Linked DNA regions of Danio rerio. The protein of the gene in region 3 purifies or fractionates together with the protein of the main gene of each other region. This does not show direct contact. Links are inferred from orthologs where the notes say so. Each region holds a gene or a part of one and is shown on either strand. Other genes may lie near its edges. The genes, in order: pfdn1, pfdn6, pfdn5 and vbp1.

Region 1 (4,363 bases), on a different chromosome or scaffold from region 3:
GCCTGCAGCTCTGCAAAAGCCTGCAAAGATGCCGAGATTGAGGTTTTGATTAGAAGGAAATCCGCTGTGATATGATGCAAATACAAAGTTGAAGTCAGAATTATTAGCCCCCCTTTGATTTTTTTTCTTTTTTAAATATTTTCCAAATGATGTTTAACAGAGCAAGAACATTTTTACAGCATCTTTGATAATATTTTTATCTTCTGGAAAAAGTGTTATTTGTTTTATTTCGGCTAGAATAAAAGCAGTTTTTAAATTTTAAATGTCACTTTAAGCTGTATAGTAGTGTCTTAAAAAATATCTAGTAATATATTATTTACTGTCATCATGGCAGAGATAAAATAAATCCGTTATTAGAAATGATCTATTAAAACTTTTATGCTTAATTGGGGGAAAAAATTAACAGGGGGGCTAATAATTCTGACTTCAACTGTAAATTTACAATAAAATTTTATTCATTTTTTTCCCTGAATTTGCATAAAATAGCAAAAAACGTGCATACATGTTTATATTCTGTTTTAGAAAACACGTCGCTTCTGATGAGTTAAAAAAAAATCTAAATTTGGCGGAAATGACATTGATTTTTGTTTTCTGAATGAAATACAGGGTTCTGCAGGTTTCACAAAATTAAATTTAGGACATTTTAAGACATTTTTAAGACCATTATGAATGCAATTTTAGACTTATACAGAACTTAATGCTGAGGATTTTTTATATCCAAGTTAGAAAAGATTTTCACTTGCTAGATAAAAAAAATATTAACATTGAATACAGGAAATATTATGTTTCAATATTTTTTTTATAAATTTTCAAAAATATTCATCTACAAACCCAATAATCAGGGCCAGACAGAATCTGCTGACATTTTTGCTATTTCTGCTGAGAAATTTGTAAAATAAAAAAATAAAAAAATAAAACAGCTGATTTTTGTGGAATGATTATGGTTATAGCGTCATAACTAAAAACTTAATACATGAAATAAAAGCAACAGCTTTTTAGCTCTTATGTTTACAATGCAAATCCAACTAGATCCACGTATTTAGTAAACAAAGCAAGTTTCTCATAATACATCCACTAAAAGACAGAAAATATTACTCTAAAAACTGAATTGTAAATACATCATATGAACATTTTAATATTACTATTGTTATATCACAATAATATTATTGAAAACAATTTAAAACTGAATAAATATAATTTTATACACATTTATACAAGTAAATAAATAGACTCAATGATGGGCTAAAAGTCTGCGGAAATTTGCATGCGCAGATTCCGTGTGGGCCTTCCTATAACCCTTACCAAGAATAGAACAAAGCATAGCTGTCAATTACTTCCGTCTACAATAATAATATTTTAATAATACAAAATGTAGGTCAGGTCAGCAACCACAGCGGTATATAAAGTGGAGTACTTTTTAACAAATGTTACTGTGAGAAAAGTAATTAAATGCTATTTTTAAATAAAACGTTAAAAGTTTTATTGAGATTGGGATTGTTGGTGATTGTTGAGTGTTAATGGCCAGATTGGGTAGTTATTCATGAACATAGGAAAATTAAGACCTGCTAAAAAATATTTAAGACCTACAACACAATATTTTAGTAAATCTAATACTTTTTAAGGCCTAAAATTTTGTTTTTGAGATTTAAGACATTTTAAGACTTTTTAAGACCCCACAGATATCCTGGAAATAACACAGATTTTGTTTCTATTTATAAAAGCTTTATATTTATAATTTGTATGTGTCATCAAATGAGTAATTGTGATTATTGCATTGCAAAATGAATGCAAATAAAATATCTTATGTATATATTAATATATTAATACACATTCATTTAAAAAAAAATGTTTATTTATAATTATCTATCATTAATGTTTGCATATAATACTAATTATACATAAATATAACTGTATTTTTATAATAATAAATCATCTATAGATATAATAAAAAATATTATTTTGTATGTTACTAATTACGATTAAACATTTGACAGCTCTTTTTGACAGCACAATAATAACATTTTTTTCACATTCATATGTAATACAGCAAATTCAGCATTTCCTATAGCTGTAACTGTTATATTTAAACAATTTATATGTTGTTATATGTTGTTGCAGTTGGTAGGGCATTCGTTATGTAAAACATGTGCTGGATAAGTTGGCGATTCGTTCCACTGTGGCGACCCCTGATGAATAAAGAGAAGCCGAAGTAAAATGAATGAATGAATGAATTAGTTGTGACAAATTTGGTGCCACTAATAAATCTTTCCCAGGTTTTCAACATAAATTCTAGAACAAAAATAAGACACTTAGAAAGTCACAACATATAATCTATAAATATATATAAAATATACATAAATATAGACATCACTAAATATTTTGTAAATAAAAAATATTATTTTGCATGTGACTAATTATGATTAAACATTTGACAGCTCTTTTTGACAGCACAATAATAAATTTTTTATCAAATTCATATGTAATACAGCAAATCCAGCATTTCCTATAGCTGTAACAGTTATATTTCAACAAATTATGTCATATATATATATATATATATATATATATATATATATATATATATATATATGGATAAGCAAAAACTAAAGAATAAGCCATATTGAAAGCTTCCTATAGCATGTAATGATGTGTTGATAGATTGATATGTGTTTGGATATTCATTTCTAAAGGATTTACAGTGGTAAACTATAAATATGACGTTGCACATCTTTATAACAAACAATACACATTAAAAGGATTCGCATGCACCTACGTTACACACTGACAGATCGCGTTGCTTAAACAGTTTTATACCTTACTTCTGCTCCACAAAAGCTTAATAACATTTATTCAGTATTTTATCATAACAAAGTAACAACTCTGTTTGGTTTTTAGATATAAAACCAAAAACCACCCTTTACCTTCTTCAACTCGAGGTCTACGGGAGCCGCCATGATGCTAAGTGGTACGAGTCCCTGCGCATGCGCGAAACAAAGAGCTTGTTGCAAAACCTAGTGAGCGGCCTACATAGACAACATTTTCAATGTCAGACAGGCAGGCAATCCACAATAAATGTTCACTAAAAAGGCAGCTCGGTAGTTTTGCAGACACGGTAAGTTTGTGGACTACTTTCAATCTCAAAACAGTGCAACAGAAATGACAGTATATGATAAAGGTTTCAGCGTTATACCAATGTTAGCGTCAAAATGTTTAGAAGCTGACTCTTAATTTAAGCGGACTTTAAGCGGACTTATTTTTAGTGTCTATTATTGTGTGCTACATGTAAAATGTGTCACCCCAGTGGCAACATTGCTCAAGATTTTTTTATTACTATTAACGTGTTGTTTTGTATTGTAAAGTCGTGTATGTTCTGCATTTTAACTCCTGTTAACACTCTGTTTGGTTTCCTCAGGAGACAAATGATGGTAAACCAACTTGAGACTTAAATCTCCAAGCTAAAGACAAGTATATCAGATGTAGTAATGACAACACAATATTTTTATAACTTCACACAGTGAGTGTTTAAACTTTACAACATACATCTGTATATCTGCAGATTTATATCCGACACACTAAAATTTTATAAATAAAAAATAGTAAATCTAAATAATAAAAATAGTTTTATTATTGGTTGTGGGACGACACGGTGGCTTAGTGGATAGCACTGTCTTCTCACAGCAAGAAGATCTCTGGTTCGAGTCCCAGCTGGGTCAGTGGGCAATTCTTTGGAGTTTGCATGTTCTCTCCATGTTGGCGTGGGTTTCCTCAGGGTGCGCCGGTTTCCCCCACAGTTCAAAGACATGCAGTGAATTGAATAAACTAAATTGGTACTGTATGTGTGTGAATTTAATGAGTGTTTATGTATCTTGTCCAGTACTGGGTTGCAGTTATTAGGGCATTTGTTGTGTAAAACATGTGCTGGTTAGTGATTCATTCCACTGGGGCAAACCCCTGATAAATAAAGAGACTAAGCCGAAGTAAAATGAATGAATTAATTAGTTGTGACAAATACGGTGCCACTTATGAATCTTTCCCAGGTTTTCAACAAAAATAAGAGACACTTAGAAAGTCACAATAGTTTATTAAACAGCAGAAATTTGTTACCATTGCTTGAAATTAGTACATGAAATCATGTAATTTATACTAAACGCATAAAACAAACACACTAATAAACGTATTCCATTTTATTTCACTTAATTTAAGCTACACTTTCTCAGTAATACATATAAAAAAGGCTTAAGCCCTGCGTCTGACATTCCTGCAGAGTACATTTATTTGATTGCATTCGCAAATGTTTAATTCACAGTTTAGCTAAAATATTATTCAAACCGTACTGTCCTCCGAATGCGATTGTAAAGTTTGC
Region 2 (4,414 bases), on a different chromosome or scaffold from region 3:
TATTTTAATACAATATAAAGATATCTTCATGTTAAAAGCTAAACCATGATAGATTAGAATATGTTTCATTTTTACACTATATCTCACACTTTTTGGATAATGTTTTCTGAAAAATATGAATACATGATATGTCTGTTATTTTAAAAAGAAATCAAACACATTAAAGTGAAAGTTTACACAAGTACAATACACTGGTCTGTTTTATAATATGTAGTAATATTATAATTTTGCCTTTCATTAAATATTTTAATTTTAAAATATTTGAGCAATCATGAGACATTAAAATCAAAGCAATTACATATTTTCTATTATCAATAAAATCTATTTTTAATTTAAAATCTAAAGCTTATAATAAGCTACAGTATTATCATTACTGGGCAGCATGGTGGCGCAGTGGGCAGCGCAGTCGCCTCACAGCAAGAAAGTCGCTGATTCAAGCCTCGGCTGGGTCAGTAGGTGAACTGGGTGAGCTAAATTGTTTGTAATGTATGTGTGTGAATGATTGTGTATAGTTTACTAGTGATGGGTTACAGATAGAAGGGCATTCGCTGTGTAAAACGTGCTGGATAAGTTAGCGGTTCATTCCGCTATGGCAACCCCAAATTAATAAAGGGACTAAGCCGAAAAAAATGATGAATGATTTATCATTACTGAAAGTTTTAAAGGTTGATATTGTTTTTATTTCATTCATTTTCTTGTGGGCTTAGTCCCTTTATTCATCCAGGGTCGCCACAGCGGAATGAACCGCCAACTTACCCAGCAAGTTTTTACGCAGCAGATGCCCTTCCAGCCGCAACCCATCTCGGGGAAATGTTTATATTTAATGTTATTTTATTTATATATATTTAATATATATATATATATATATATATATATATATATATATATATATATATATATATATATATATATATATTATCACTAAATTAAATAAAAACAACATCAACATCAACATCAAAGTATGTTGTATACTGTAAACTCGCAGACTTTTTTCGTCACATCCATAACACATGTTTATTTATTTATTTAAAATGTATTTAATTTTTTAAAAATTTACAGATTGATTTTTTCTGCTCCCATGACTCTGTGGTTGGTAGCTTCTCTGGGAATTCATGTTTTGAAATGTGTGTATATGTATGTATATGTATGTATGTATGTATGCATGCATGCATGCATGCATGCATGCATGTATGTATATATATATATATATATATATATATATATATATATATATATATATATATATATATATATACATACACACACACATACATACATACATATATACATACATACATATATACATACATACATATATATATGCATTATTTGGTATATGTTTTTTGAACAATCATGATTTATAAAATCTCAAATTAATTATATTTATTCTAATTTAGTTAAAACTTTTTATTTATTCAAAGATATGTTGCAGGAAATGTGCAAGTGTACACTGGTATAACTTGGCTATATGAATATTCATAATGGTGTTACTATAAATACCAAGAAACTTACACAATGAATCATAAAATAAAATAAAATAGTAAAAGCCTTTTTAAAACGTTCAATAATGAGAATTTGTAGATTGAATGTGGATTTTGTCTAAAATAGCTCTGGGTAGCTAAATCAAGTCCAAATACAACATAACCGTGACATTTGTACTTTATCAGTGCATTGCACTACATAGATATTAAACCTGAATACAACAAATTACTACAAATACGTTAAATATAAATTATTAAAGGAGCACACACATACATATATACACACACATACATACATACATATATACATACATACATATATATATGCATTATTTGGTATATGTTTTTTGAACAATCATGATTTATAAAATCTCAAATTAATTATATTTATTCTAATTTAGTTAAAACTTTTTATTTATTCAAAGATATGTTGCAGGAAATGTGCAAGTGTACACTGGTATAACTTGGCTATATGAATATTCATAATGGTGTTACTATAAATACCAAGAAACTTACACAATGAATCATAAAATAAAATAAAATAGTAAAAGCCTTTTTAAAACGTTCAATAATGAGAATTTGTAGATTGAATGTGGATTTTGTCTAAAATAGCTCTGGGTAGCTAAATCAAGTCCAAATACAACATAACCGTGACATTTGTACTTTATCAGTGCATTGCACTACATAGATATTAAACCTGAATACAACAAATTACTACAAATACGTTAAATATAAATTATTAAAGGAGCCGAACATAAAGATGATTGAGGTAAAGTTGGTTTTATATTCGCACATTCGTTCAGTGAAAACTTGTGACATCCCTACATTGTTTACCATGGTGATTTTGATAGTCAATGGCTGCTAATATGATTTTACCATTTAGAATTGACAAAAATACTTTAATAAGATTTTTAGAGAGAAAGCCAATTTACACAATGAGGTAAAGTTGGTTTTATATTTACACATTCAGACTTTCTCCTATTAAAAATTCCGAAAAGTATTCTGTAGTTAGCAAATCCTAAATAGTGAAACCATATTAGCAGACGATGGCTATCAAATTACACCATTATTCAGTCAAATAAATAGTGATAACGTTAATGTAGTCTTATTTACATGTGATTTCAGACCGAATATTCAAAGTACCATGGTAAACAATATAGGGAGCATGCCACACATTGTCACTGAACGAATGTGCGAATATAAAACCAACTTTGCCTCAATATAAAGATGCCCATGCAGGGAGTGTTGGATTGCTAACTCTGAGCTTTTCGTGCTGTAAGTTACCTTTCTGGAGTTGTTGATATTTCTCCAACTCAGCTTGCAATTTCTTCTGAATCGCTTCAGCCATCACACCTGCTATTCCAATGTCTGACTTATTATTATTGCTAAATAATAAAAATCACGATATTTTATGACAAATGCAGACAGTCAGCAGCACACTACTCAAGCACACAGTCTGAGGCGCACGGGAAATGACGTCATATCATTGCGTCACATGGGGGTTTTACGATAGCTGATAAAAAGAGTTACTTCGCCATCTAGTGTTTAAGAAAAACATACACAATTTTTTTCAGTATTATGTTTATTCACACACCTTTAAATAATTTGCTCTATAATTTTACGCACCATATGTAGATTTAACGCATCAGTTAATGTGATTTTTGGATTAATACGATGGGTACAATTTTTCCAGTATCTAAAAGCGTAGTGCCTCTCCTGTCCATGTGGTGTCAGTCTATCCTCTTCCTCCAAGCCCTCTGTAGTGACAGTCAAGGCAATATGGCAGCGCGCATGGTTCAAATTCTAACGTGAAGGTCTTTTTTCGGGTGTGCGCGACCACATAGAATCACAACAGCAGGTAAAGTCAGTTATATATTTTTTCTATAACACAAGCAAATGTAATGACTGTTCTAAATCTGCACCTTAAGCAGCGTTTTAAACATATGTAGGGTAAAATAGTATCATGTGCTATATTCATCTATTACGAGAATGAACCATGGTTTAAAGAGTTAAGTGTAATCATACTTTTTTTGTCGTATCGATTGTTATTTATAACCACAGTATTACTGAAAGTACTACAGTTTAGCTGGGGTTAGTGTAACAAAACCATGTTGATTTGAGGTTACCATGGTTAGTTTTTGTGGTAAAACCATGGTTAATTTTCGTAATAGATGTCATGATGTTTTAACTTTATCGATATTTGCTAGTAACGTTATTCTTCTTCTTGTGATTCTTCAAAACTTTTTTTATTTTTTTCAATAAAAAAATCAAATTTTCTAAGATGACAAACAAACAAACAACCATTAACCACCATTTAACCATAGTATCTGTGGTAAACCTGTAACGTTAGTTACACTAATAATATGTCTGTCAAAACACGCGCACACACACACTTCCCTTGGTTCAATTTCATAAGGGCAGGAATGAAATAATAGAATAAAACATAAATAATTCATAAATTCTATTGTTTTGTCAGGCAGTCATTTTGAGTGTGGCTATTTTTGCTTTTTTCTATAATGAACCTGATATCTTTGCTGTGAGTTGAATGTGTATTATGAAATGTGTTCATGGTTTTAGAGTTATGACAGAGGTTGTCACTTTGTAAAATTCATATAAAACATTTGTATGATGATTAGTCCTCTGAACCTGCAATTTTAGTTGAAGAAATCACTTTTTTTGGACACTTTAATCTCAGTTGTTTTGATTATGCTTGTTACTTGTGGGAGCGACACAGTAGTTTGTGTCGACACACCAATGTTTCTGGTGGGGTTAATTTTATTTGTTGTGAATACTAGTAGGAACCTAGTATAAACACGGCTAGAGATTGGATACACTTGGGATGTTCTATGTTAGTAAACTGTGTGATGTTTTTCAGAAATTTCTTATTAAAGTCTTATGTTTACATAGAAATTTTATAACTTTTATCATCATTT
Region 3 (4,561 bases):
ACTTTAAGTATGTACCAAATGCTGATATTTTCTTACAGTAGTTTTATACACTTGGAAAAATAGTAAATATATATATATTTCAACTATAAGTTACTATAATTTAAGAAATATATAGATAAATAAAACTTATGCAATCTGCACTCCGAAATAAGTACAAAGACTGCCACCTGGTGGTTCAAAGAGAAAATGTATTGATATGAACTTTTTAAATACAATGCAAATGCACAATATTCAACTTTTTTAAAAAAAGGATACTGATTTATGCAGTCATGCACATGTTGTGATCGCCAATATGCCGGTGATATGTTGCTTCACAAAAGTTGCAGACACCTTCACCTTTATCAAAATGCTTTTTTGATGGAAAATTAATTCATACAGTTATTCCTTACTCCAATTAAAAAAAACTTGAGTAGGCCTAAGCTACTATAATAAAGAAAATCTTCTCTAAATGTAGAACTAAATACATTGATATGCTTTAAAATACATAATGAATACTCTTGACACATGAAAGTGTTAAGCCTGCAGCTCACAACAAACCGTTTACTGCTTGTTTGATGTAATTTTGCTCACATGGATAATTGAATATTATTCAGATGATGTCATTACGCTGCTGTGCCGTCAGCCAATCGTTGCATTGCTGATCATGATTTCGAGGATCGATGGATCTGTCCTTCACAACACATGCAGCGATCTCAGATCAGTTTATCCAGACATTCTAATCGGATTCGCAAACTTGTTTGAAGAACCAAATTAGCCAGAGATCAGTTATCAAGATGAAAAGATCCAGGATCTGCCAAATCATCTTATATCATTTAAGCGAGGTACGAAGAACGGACCCCAGATCTATTTTCAGTTGTTAGACACCCACATGAAAATATACGACAGTAATCTATAGTAAATAAAATTGTGATTTTTAACCATACTGACATCTCCAATAGATAGAGATGTTGCACAAACACCTAAAATATTGCCAGAATTGGTCTTTATGTATGTGTGATTTATATTGCATCACCAAAAATGATTGAGGTCATGTCCATGTGTTGTACGCTCAGTCGTTATATTGATTATTGTGACAGGCTTACTTGAAAATAGTGAAAAAAGAAATACAATAAAAATGTACTGTATTTTTATCAGCTATGGTGAACATAAGAAACATGTTTTTCAAAAGACAAGAAAATCACCTTGTTTCATGGCATATTTTTCTTGAAGAGCAGGCTGAATCTTTTCAATTTGTTTAGTAAGGAAGTCGATTTTGCGTTTAAAGAACTCTTTGCCGTCCTCTACATTCTGAAAAGACAGAAAAGGCAATGTGATTTACTCAGTTTTGACATTTTTACATATACTAAAACTACTAGACTGATTCTTACTCACCTTCTCCACAAAATAACCTGTTCCCACATCCACTAACACATGATCCACATCATGCAGCTTTCCAGGTACATACATCTACATGACTGAGGTTAAGGGAATAACGGACCACTGCAAATTAATTACACACACATCAAACTGTCTGTGTGACTTTCTTATGTGGCATAAATCAATCAGAACTCATTTATAACTCAGCTGTTTAGAGGATACAGAACTGGTGAGAGGGACGAGTAGTTCTTTACCTGAGAGAAAAAGTAAAAAAAAATTAGCAAACGTCAGATTTAGCTAAAAACGTCATAAAAGAGTTTTAAAAGTCACCTTCATTGCTCTTGTTAAGCACATTCAAACTGTCTTTGGCCTCCACATATTTTGTTTGGACGACTTTCAGCTGAGCTATAGACGATGACAGGAACTCTGTTTCCTAGAAAACACATTTTTAAGCAATTTATACAAAATAACGTGTAAATCTACCTTGAGATGTCCCTTTTTGGTGTCTCAAAGTAAATTAACATTATTGCATTTATATTCACAGAAAGCACACTGAACGCAAGCAAAGTGTTAACTTAAATGTTTCAAATAACTTTTGTAAAAATAAAATCAAAAAATGAGTGAAAATCTATCAAATAATTAACAATAATAATAATTTAGGAAATAATGTCAGGGTAATTCAGAGCAACATATATATTTATTTAAAAATGGGAAAAACATAGTACTTATTCTGTACTAGGTATGGGGCGATAACTGTTTGCAAGGTAAACCGGCAAGGTTTGGAATAGTCAAGGTTTTAAACCTTAAAAGTAAAAATTAGTAAAATAAAGGGTTTGAAGGATAGTGACAAATTATGCATGTTTAAAAAAAGAAAAATAATTAGAATTTGGGAGCTACAGTTCAACCTTTAAATAGTTAAATGCCATCAAAATAATCTTGGTCTAAAAATATGGCTGCCCAGAATTTTTAATATATATAAACTATTGTTATGACATTTTTGTTGGGGTCTTCTGTAAAATACAGTAAAATAAATATGACGGTCAAAATAAAACAGATAATCAGGACACATGTAAACTTCAAAAGTTTACTCACAGAAAAACAAAATTAGTCTTTTAAATTAATCTTATACAGATTATAGACTTGGTACCAAAATATATTTCAAACTGTGAACTCGTTAAAATAAAACCAAGTTGTGTTTAGTGAGAACTGACTGAGACACCATTCACATACAATGCAAGTGAACGTCGATAAAGTCATTCTGCATCTCATTTTCTGTCATACGGAATAAATGCAGCCATGTGGACAATCATAGAGGGCTTTTTTTCCGCATTACCAGCAGCAGCAGCACGCGCACAGACAGCATGACAACCGCAGCCCGTCAGTAAATTAATTCACTGACAGAAAAACAGCAGCACCTGATGCTACTCGGACATACGAAACGATGATGTTTTTTATTTTTAACACAATTTACCTGATCAAGCTGAGTTTTCAAGCCTTCTAATTGTGGAAGAGACAATTCAGTGAGATTCACCGCCATGTTGACAATAAAAGAGGGTGAGGAAAACTTCCGGGTCAAGCGGACGCAACTAAAAGGACTTTTACCATTGATTTTTTTCCATTACACACTACAGTCATTTGTTATACTTTAACAAATAAAACGTCGACTAAATAAACTAACAGTGCATTTATACAGCATGTATTAACATTACCTTAAAAAAAAAGGGAGATGACCAGCTAAAACCAGCTTGACCAGCCTAGCCAAGCTGGGAGTCCAGCCAAAACCAGCTATATCCAGCTTAAACCAGGCTGGGCAAGCTGGTTTTAGTTGGATTTGGCTGGTCATTTTCCAGCCTGACCAGCTAAGACCAGGCTGGAAATGGCTGGAAACTAGCCTGGAAATGGCCAAAACCCCTCTAAAACCAGGCTGGTCAACTGATTTTTCAGTAGGGAATGTATTTGATTAGTATGTAAACATGAGTAAATCCTTATTAATCAATTAACAAACTATTCATTGTCAATGCATGTGGTGCACAAATTTCAACTATTTTAAGCCTCATTGTTAAGTATTAGAATAGGTTTGTATTTCAGTAGACATTGAACACTAAAAATACACACCAGTTAAAAAGTGAAGAAAATGTACACAGCTCAAATCCTTATAAAGCTCATGGGCATTCATTAATGTTTGTGTGTGTATGTGTGTGTTTGCCTTTATGTGTTTGGTATTGTCCTGAGTTTTCTCCAACAGGAGTAGTGTGTATTTTACAAAAGCAGAAAATCTCATCTGAAACACTAACTCATGACAGGAAGTCCGTAACACTTGTTTAAATTAATATTTCATTTTTTCAGATTCACCATTAAACCTGGCCGTTCAGCACATAAGAATCACATCAGATCAGGTACGTCAGATATTTGTACGTCTCTGAAAACGCTGTCCCTGACATTTTGAAGACTTATGGGAACACCGATTTCAGTGTTTACAGTCCTTGTTGCCTGTCGGTTTATCCATCAGTCTGCAGTGACAGATGACCAATTCATGTTTTTCCTCCATGTGTACTCCTTTACTAGCACATCCCTCATTTCAGTTAACCCCTGTGTGCTGTTGAGGGTGTTTTCATCCACTCTGGGGTGATTTTGTGTCTTCATTTGGTCAACTTTTTCTGTTTCAACTAGCAGAACGACTTTGGCGACAAATTTAATTTTGACACGTTTTTGGAAAATGCTTTGACATTTTTAAAGAACTTAACGATACACTCTGGGCAATTTTGCTACCCTTTTGTTATGTTTGGGATGAAAACCTCCACTAATTTAAACTGCTGTAAAAATGCATCAGATAAATATGTTTTCCCATAAATCTGTTAATCAACCTCAGTCCCGATCAAAACTACTAAACTGTTTAGGAAATTACAGTTTAAATTCCTAATTACCAAATTCATAAATCTGTCACTGATTGGTGGAAAAACACACAAAATGACGTATTTTCAATACAAAAAGTAATCGTGGACTGGATTTTTTTTAACCTTTTAAAAAAAAGAAAAGAAAAAAAAATCTGATTCTGGATTTTATTTAGAGTATAACAGCAAATTAAAGTGTGTGTATGTGTGTCTGTGTGAGAGTTAACTTTCATGCATTTACCGTGATGTGTCTGAAAAAATCAAAATATGCATTTCAGCGCTCAGAACTACAGGGAGTAAACAAAAAGAGTATT
Region 4 (4,521 bases), on a different chromosome or scaffold from region 3:
GTTATTTTTTGCCTTGGCTCCTTCCCAACAATACTGAGGTTTACCTACTCAAGTTCACTCTTTTCTCAGAGTAAGGTGGATAGGGAAGATGTCATACGATTTCCATTTTGCAAACACGTTGAAAATGTATTGTTAAAGACATCAGGTAAGAGGTAAAGATCATCTTTGTATTTATTTTATTTTACAGTACAGTATAGGGAAGACTGCGGCGCACTGCGCTGAAGACCTTTTTATCTTTTCATCAGTTTTAGCAAGTTAAGAGCGGTTATTCATGAGTTAAAATTGTTTTGTTATATTTCTTTCTTTTGCTTGGCTTCACAATTGTCCCCTTACTCAAGTTTAACTCATTTTTGTTTGATCCTTTGTTTGAATTTGCTACTTTATTATATTATTTTTATTAGTGTAAATATTTCTCTTTTTTGTATATATTTGGGCATTTTTCTGGTTTCACTTTTGTAGATTAAATCACTTTAGTTGGCAGTTCTGTTGCTTACACCCTCACATTGTGAGGTTTTGTGTAAGTTGTGAAACAGTTACGATAGATAGACGTGTGCTTTGTCTACGACACAAATTCCATTCCAGTACTCCACTGGAAAACCAAAATGTTCCCACACAGATGACTTAAATGTGTCTGGGGGATCTGGAATCTCAGTACTGTGTGAAGCAGCCATCCTGCATACAGTAGTAACTGAGTGTGATGCTTTCTTAAGTCACATCACATGACATGCACTTGGAAAATACTAACTTAAGAATATAATATTTAAAACAAAAGCTCATCATTACTAAAACAATTTAATCAAATGTGATAAATATGTTTAAATTGGTTCAATTAGTTAGAGACAAGTGATGTCAACCTCAACAATGGGCAGCAGGGGGCATAAGAATATCGCGGTATGCCACGAGTTTCAAGATACGTATCGTGGTTGGTGTATTGTGATATTTCGGGTCGGTTTTAATATCGTTACATCCCTACTGACAATATCTGGAATAAACATTATAAAATTCTAGTAATTTTAAGACATGTGGGAACCCGGTACGCTACAAGTGATGAAGAGGTTTCATGAGTTCATAAGCAGTACAAAAGAGCAAAACAAAGGCAATGATCGTCAACACTTTCACACATGCTTTTTAAAGCAGTTGTTTTAGTCAACACAACAAGGATTTCACAGCTCATAATGTAATGCAGTGACACAGGGTAGTAAAAAAACAAAAATCAGTACCACACTTGGTCTTATAATAAACCATTAAATTAAAAGATAATTATCTTGATAGATAATAATTATTTTGATTTCATGCTCACATCAAATGCATCAGGACTCAACATTCAACACTTACCCCAAGCCACAAGCACACTTTATCTGTAGGTGGAACAGAGGCCTTGCAGTAGACGTTATCAGCCAACAGAAAATGTGTCTCCATGGGATCTGTGGTGTCCTTTGATTTGATATGCATAAATAAAAATAAATAAAGAGGAATTCTGGTGAAGCAGAACAATACACTTGCTGCATCTCAAAAATTTATCATTTAAAATGTAATTTTAGGGCGAATTTCATAACTATCTTACTGTATTGTAATAATTTGTTTTTGATTATAATATTAAAAAACCTCTGTTAATATTATAATATTAAAAAACAAAATCACCTTAATTATGCTTATATGATTTATTGTATTAAGATCATTTGTTTACAAAGATGAAAAATAAAATATTGAAATGTTCATTTTTCCCCTCAATTACACAGCCCTAGAAGCAAAAGAGCACAAAAAGATCTATAACATGTATAGAGAAAAAGACTGACTTTAAATGACAGGCTGATTGACAGGCCAGTTTATGATGAATAGACACATTTATGTGTATGTTAAAGACACAATTATGACACGTGATCTAATATGTGACTGCTCTTCTGCAACACACTACAAAAAAAATATTTATATACATTTATTAAAAAAAGTATATATATAAATATATATATATATATATATATATATATATATATATATATATATACTTCTCACAAGGAGTACATGAAAGAAATCCTAAAAGCAGTAAATAACTTTGAGAAATCATTTTAAGTAATTTTAGACTGAACTTTGATTTGTTTCTGTGAAGCAATTTTGAGACAAATTTTCTTTTTAAATCACCATTAATTAAGAAATGAGCTTACCTTCTTTTTCTGCATGTGCCGTAGGATTTCTAATGTCTGTTTGATTTGTGGAATTTGGCTTTTCAACCTGAAACAGAGGGAAAAAATGTCAACAATTATAGTCTGCAAAAACAACTTGTAGCCACATATACGCATGCTATCCAGAGCACTTTACAGTAAGGTTTTATTAGTTAATGCATATACTAACATAAACAAACAATGAAACATACATTTATGACAGTATTAGATGTTCGTTAACAGTAGTTCATGAAAATACAGTTGTTCATTGTTAGTTCATGTTAACTCACGATACATTAACTAATATTAAGCATAAATTTGGATGTTATTGATGCATTAGTACATTTATGTAGAACTATGATCAATAAATGCTGTGCAAGTGTTGTTAATCATTGGTTGTGTCAGTAAATACATTACCCAATGAAATCTTATTGTAATTTGTGACTGAAAGATTGACTTCTTTTTACAGCACAACGTAGAACAGATCAAAACCAAACCTGAGTTTCTTCTGCCCCAGATTGAGCTCCATGTATTTATATTTCTGATATTGTTCATCCAGCTTCCTCAGCACGGCGTCTGCTGTGTCATTGCCCGGCTGCTTCATGAAGGCGTCCACATCTTCCTACAGAACACACAATGTGTTTCACATCTGGTTAATTAAGGCTTATAATTAACAAAGCGGTTTTTGAGAGCCAGTTATTCACATGTTCTCTGTCACTCAAAGCTCACATTCAAGACATGAGCAAGCAATCCCTGCACCCTTATAAGGAGAAGAACAAGGCGCTTTCTTACTTAAAGCCGTTTAAAGACGAACAAACCAACACAGACAGAAACATGTCGACAGCATGGACATGAAAATTAACTATATATCCCTTTCGCACTGACCACAAATATTGCTTCAGGGATTCCGAGGTGTTTTTTCTTATTTGCAGCTCCTGCATTGCCACTTTCTATGGTCGTCGCCATTTTGGAGAGACTTACGACTCTTCCTCTTTGACGCACGCGCACGCTGTTCTTACGCACGGGCGCCGCGTGCATAATAAAAGTGACTTTCTTCTTCTTATAACAATGAGCAGGTGATGATTTCATCTGGCCATTTTGTCATTAATTTCTTTTTATATCATATTTAAATTCAAATGTAGTCCATCTGTCTTTGTTAACGTATGTTTTTTAATAATATCCGACATTTATCAAACCGACCGGCAGATGTCAGTGTTGCCTGATTGACATGAGAAATAGCACGAGGCGCTGGCCGTGACGACAGCAGTTGGTGGCAAGCCAGAGGTTTGATCCAATACATTTGCGGTGATATGAAAAAACAGATAAATACATTGGCTCTTAGTCTTCAGTTTGATTTTTCATAATATTATTATTGAGTCTGTCTGTTCTGCTTACTAATGTTACTGTCAGCTTCAGTACAGGCTTTCTTTGTCTGCATGTGGATCTTTAGGTGAAAGTAAGTAGCAGGGCAAGAATAGCACCTTATTAGATGTGTTTTATTAAATAGGCCTATATATGCACTTATATCACACATACAGTGTCACATTATAATTCATATTTAAAAATGATTGTAAATAAAAGCAGAAGAGAAACAAATATAAAACAGATTAAGGCAAGGGCGACACGGTGGCTCAGTGGTTAGCACTGTTGTCTAAGAGCAAGAAGGTCACTGGTTCGAAATTCCGGCTGGGATTTCTGTGTGGAGTTTGCATGTTCTGCCTGTGTTTGTGTGGGTTTCCTCCGGGTGCTCCGGTTTCCCCCAAACAGTCCAAAGACATGTGCTAAGTGAATTGAATAAACTAAATTGGCCGTAGTGTATGTGTGTGAATGAATGTGTATGGATGTTTCCCAGTTGCCTACTGGGTTGCAGCTGGAAGGGCATCCGCTGTGTGAATTATATGCTGGATAAGTTGGCTGTTCATTCTGCTGTGGTGACCACTGATGGATTTAAGGACTAAGCTAAGAAAATTAGTCAGTGAATGAATGAGCCTAAGTCAAAAATGCAGTATATTTAGGGTAAATTGCATTAAAGAATGTGGAAACTAGCCAAAATACATGCAGATTAATTAAACAGAAGCACATTCCACCCTCTTTAGAATAGAGGGTGAAACCAGCTTATTTTAAAAAGATAATAATTCATATTTTTATTGGTAATTTTCAGTTTCTTACAGTAAAACAAAATATGTGAATACTGAAATGTGCAGCATATACTTTGGTTTGTGTTTATGTGTGTGTGTGTGTGTGTGTGTTATTTTTTTAAAAAACAAGTCAAAAGAATACTCCAATGTTCATTCGTTCATTTTTGGCTTAGTCCTTTTATTAATTAGGGGTCGCCACAGTGGAATGAACCGCCAACCTATTC

Evidence for each region.
Region 1: the proteins of pfdn5 (region 3) and pfdn1 purify together in Homo sapiens (affinity purification with mass spectrometry; 7 studies listed by BioGRID and IntAct, with this or other methods). This does not show direct contact. The link is inferred for Danio rerio from reciprocal best matches to the Homo sapiens genes PFDN5 and PFDN1.
Region 2: the proteins of pfdn5 (region 3) and pfdn6 purify together in Homo sapiens (affinity purification with mass spectrometry; 5 studies listed by BioGRID and IntAct, with this or other methods). This does not show direct contact. The link is inferred for Danio rerio from reciprocal best matches to the Homo sapiens genes PFDN5 and PFDN6.
Region 4: the proteins of pfdn5 (region 3) and vbp1 purify together in Homo sapiens (affinity purification with mass spectrometry; 7 studies listed by BioGRID and IntAct, counting the BioPlex papers as one, with this or other methods). This does not show direct contact. The link is inferred for Danio rerio from reciprocal best matches to the Homo sapiens genes PFDN5 and VBP1.

The regions. Positions count from the first base shown.
Region 1 is NC_133196.1:32,811,677-32,816,039, forward strand, and holds the start of pfdn1 (prefoldin subunit 1), read right to left. Parts: upstream 2,968-4,363; 5' UTR 2,955-2,967; coding exon 2,922-2,954; intron 21-2,921; coding exon 1-20. UniProt on the Homo sapiens protein: Binds specifically to cytosolic chaperonin (c-CPN) and transfers target proteins to it. Binds to nascent polypeptide chain and promotes folding in an environment in which there are many competing pathways for nonnative proteins.
Region 2 is NC_133189.1:35,060,191-35,064,604, forward strand, and holds the start of pfdn6 (prefoldin subunit 6), read right to left. Parts: upstream 2,866-4,414; 5' UTR 2,830-2,865; coding exon 2,766-2,829; intron 1-2,765. UniProt on the Homo sapiens protein: Binds specifically to cytosolic chaperonin (c-CPN) and transfers target proteins to it. Binds to nascent polypeptide chain and promotes folding in an environment in which there are many competing pathways for nonnative proteins.
Region 3 is NC_133181.1:42,215,088-42,219,648, forward strand, and holds the start of pfdn5 (prefoldin subunit 5), read right to left. Parts: upstream 2,900-4,561; 5' UTR 2,894-2,899; coding exon 2,828-2,893; intron 1,790-2,827; coding exon 1,687-1,789; intron 1,611-1,686; coding exon 1,579-1,610; intron 1,447-1,578; coding exon 1,372-1,446; intron 1,288-1,371; coding exon 1,182-1,287; intron 1-1,181. UniProt on the Homo sapiens protein: Binds specifically to cytosolic chaperonin (c-CPN) and transfers target proteins to it. Binds to nascent polypeptide chain and promotes folding in an environment in which there are many competing pathways for nonnative proteins.
Region 4 is NC_133182.1:23,875,685-23,880,205, forward strand, and holds the start of vbp1 (prefoldin subunit 3), read right to left. Parts: upstream 3,150-4,521; 5' UTR 3,126-3,149; coding exon 3,045-3,125; intron 2,782-3,044; coding exon 2,657-2,781; intron 2,230-2,656; coding exon 2,163-2,229; intron 1,435-2,162; coding exon 1,336-1,434; intron 1-1,335. UniProt on the Homo sapiens protein: Binds specifically to cytosolic chaperonin (c-CPN) and transfers target proteins to it. Binds to nascent polypeptide chain and promotes folding in an environment in which there are many competing pathways for nonnative proteins.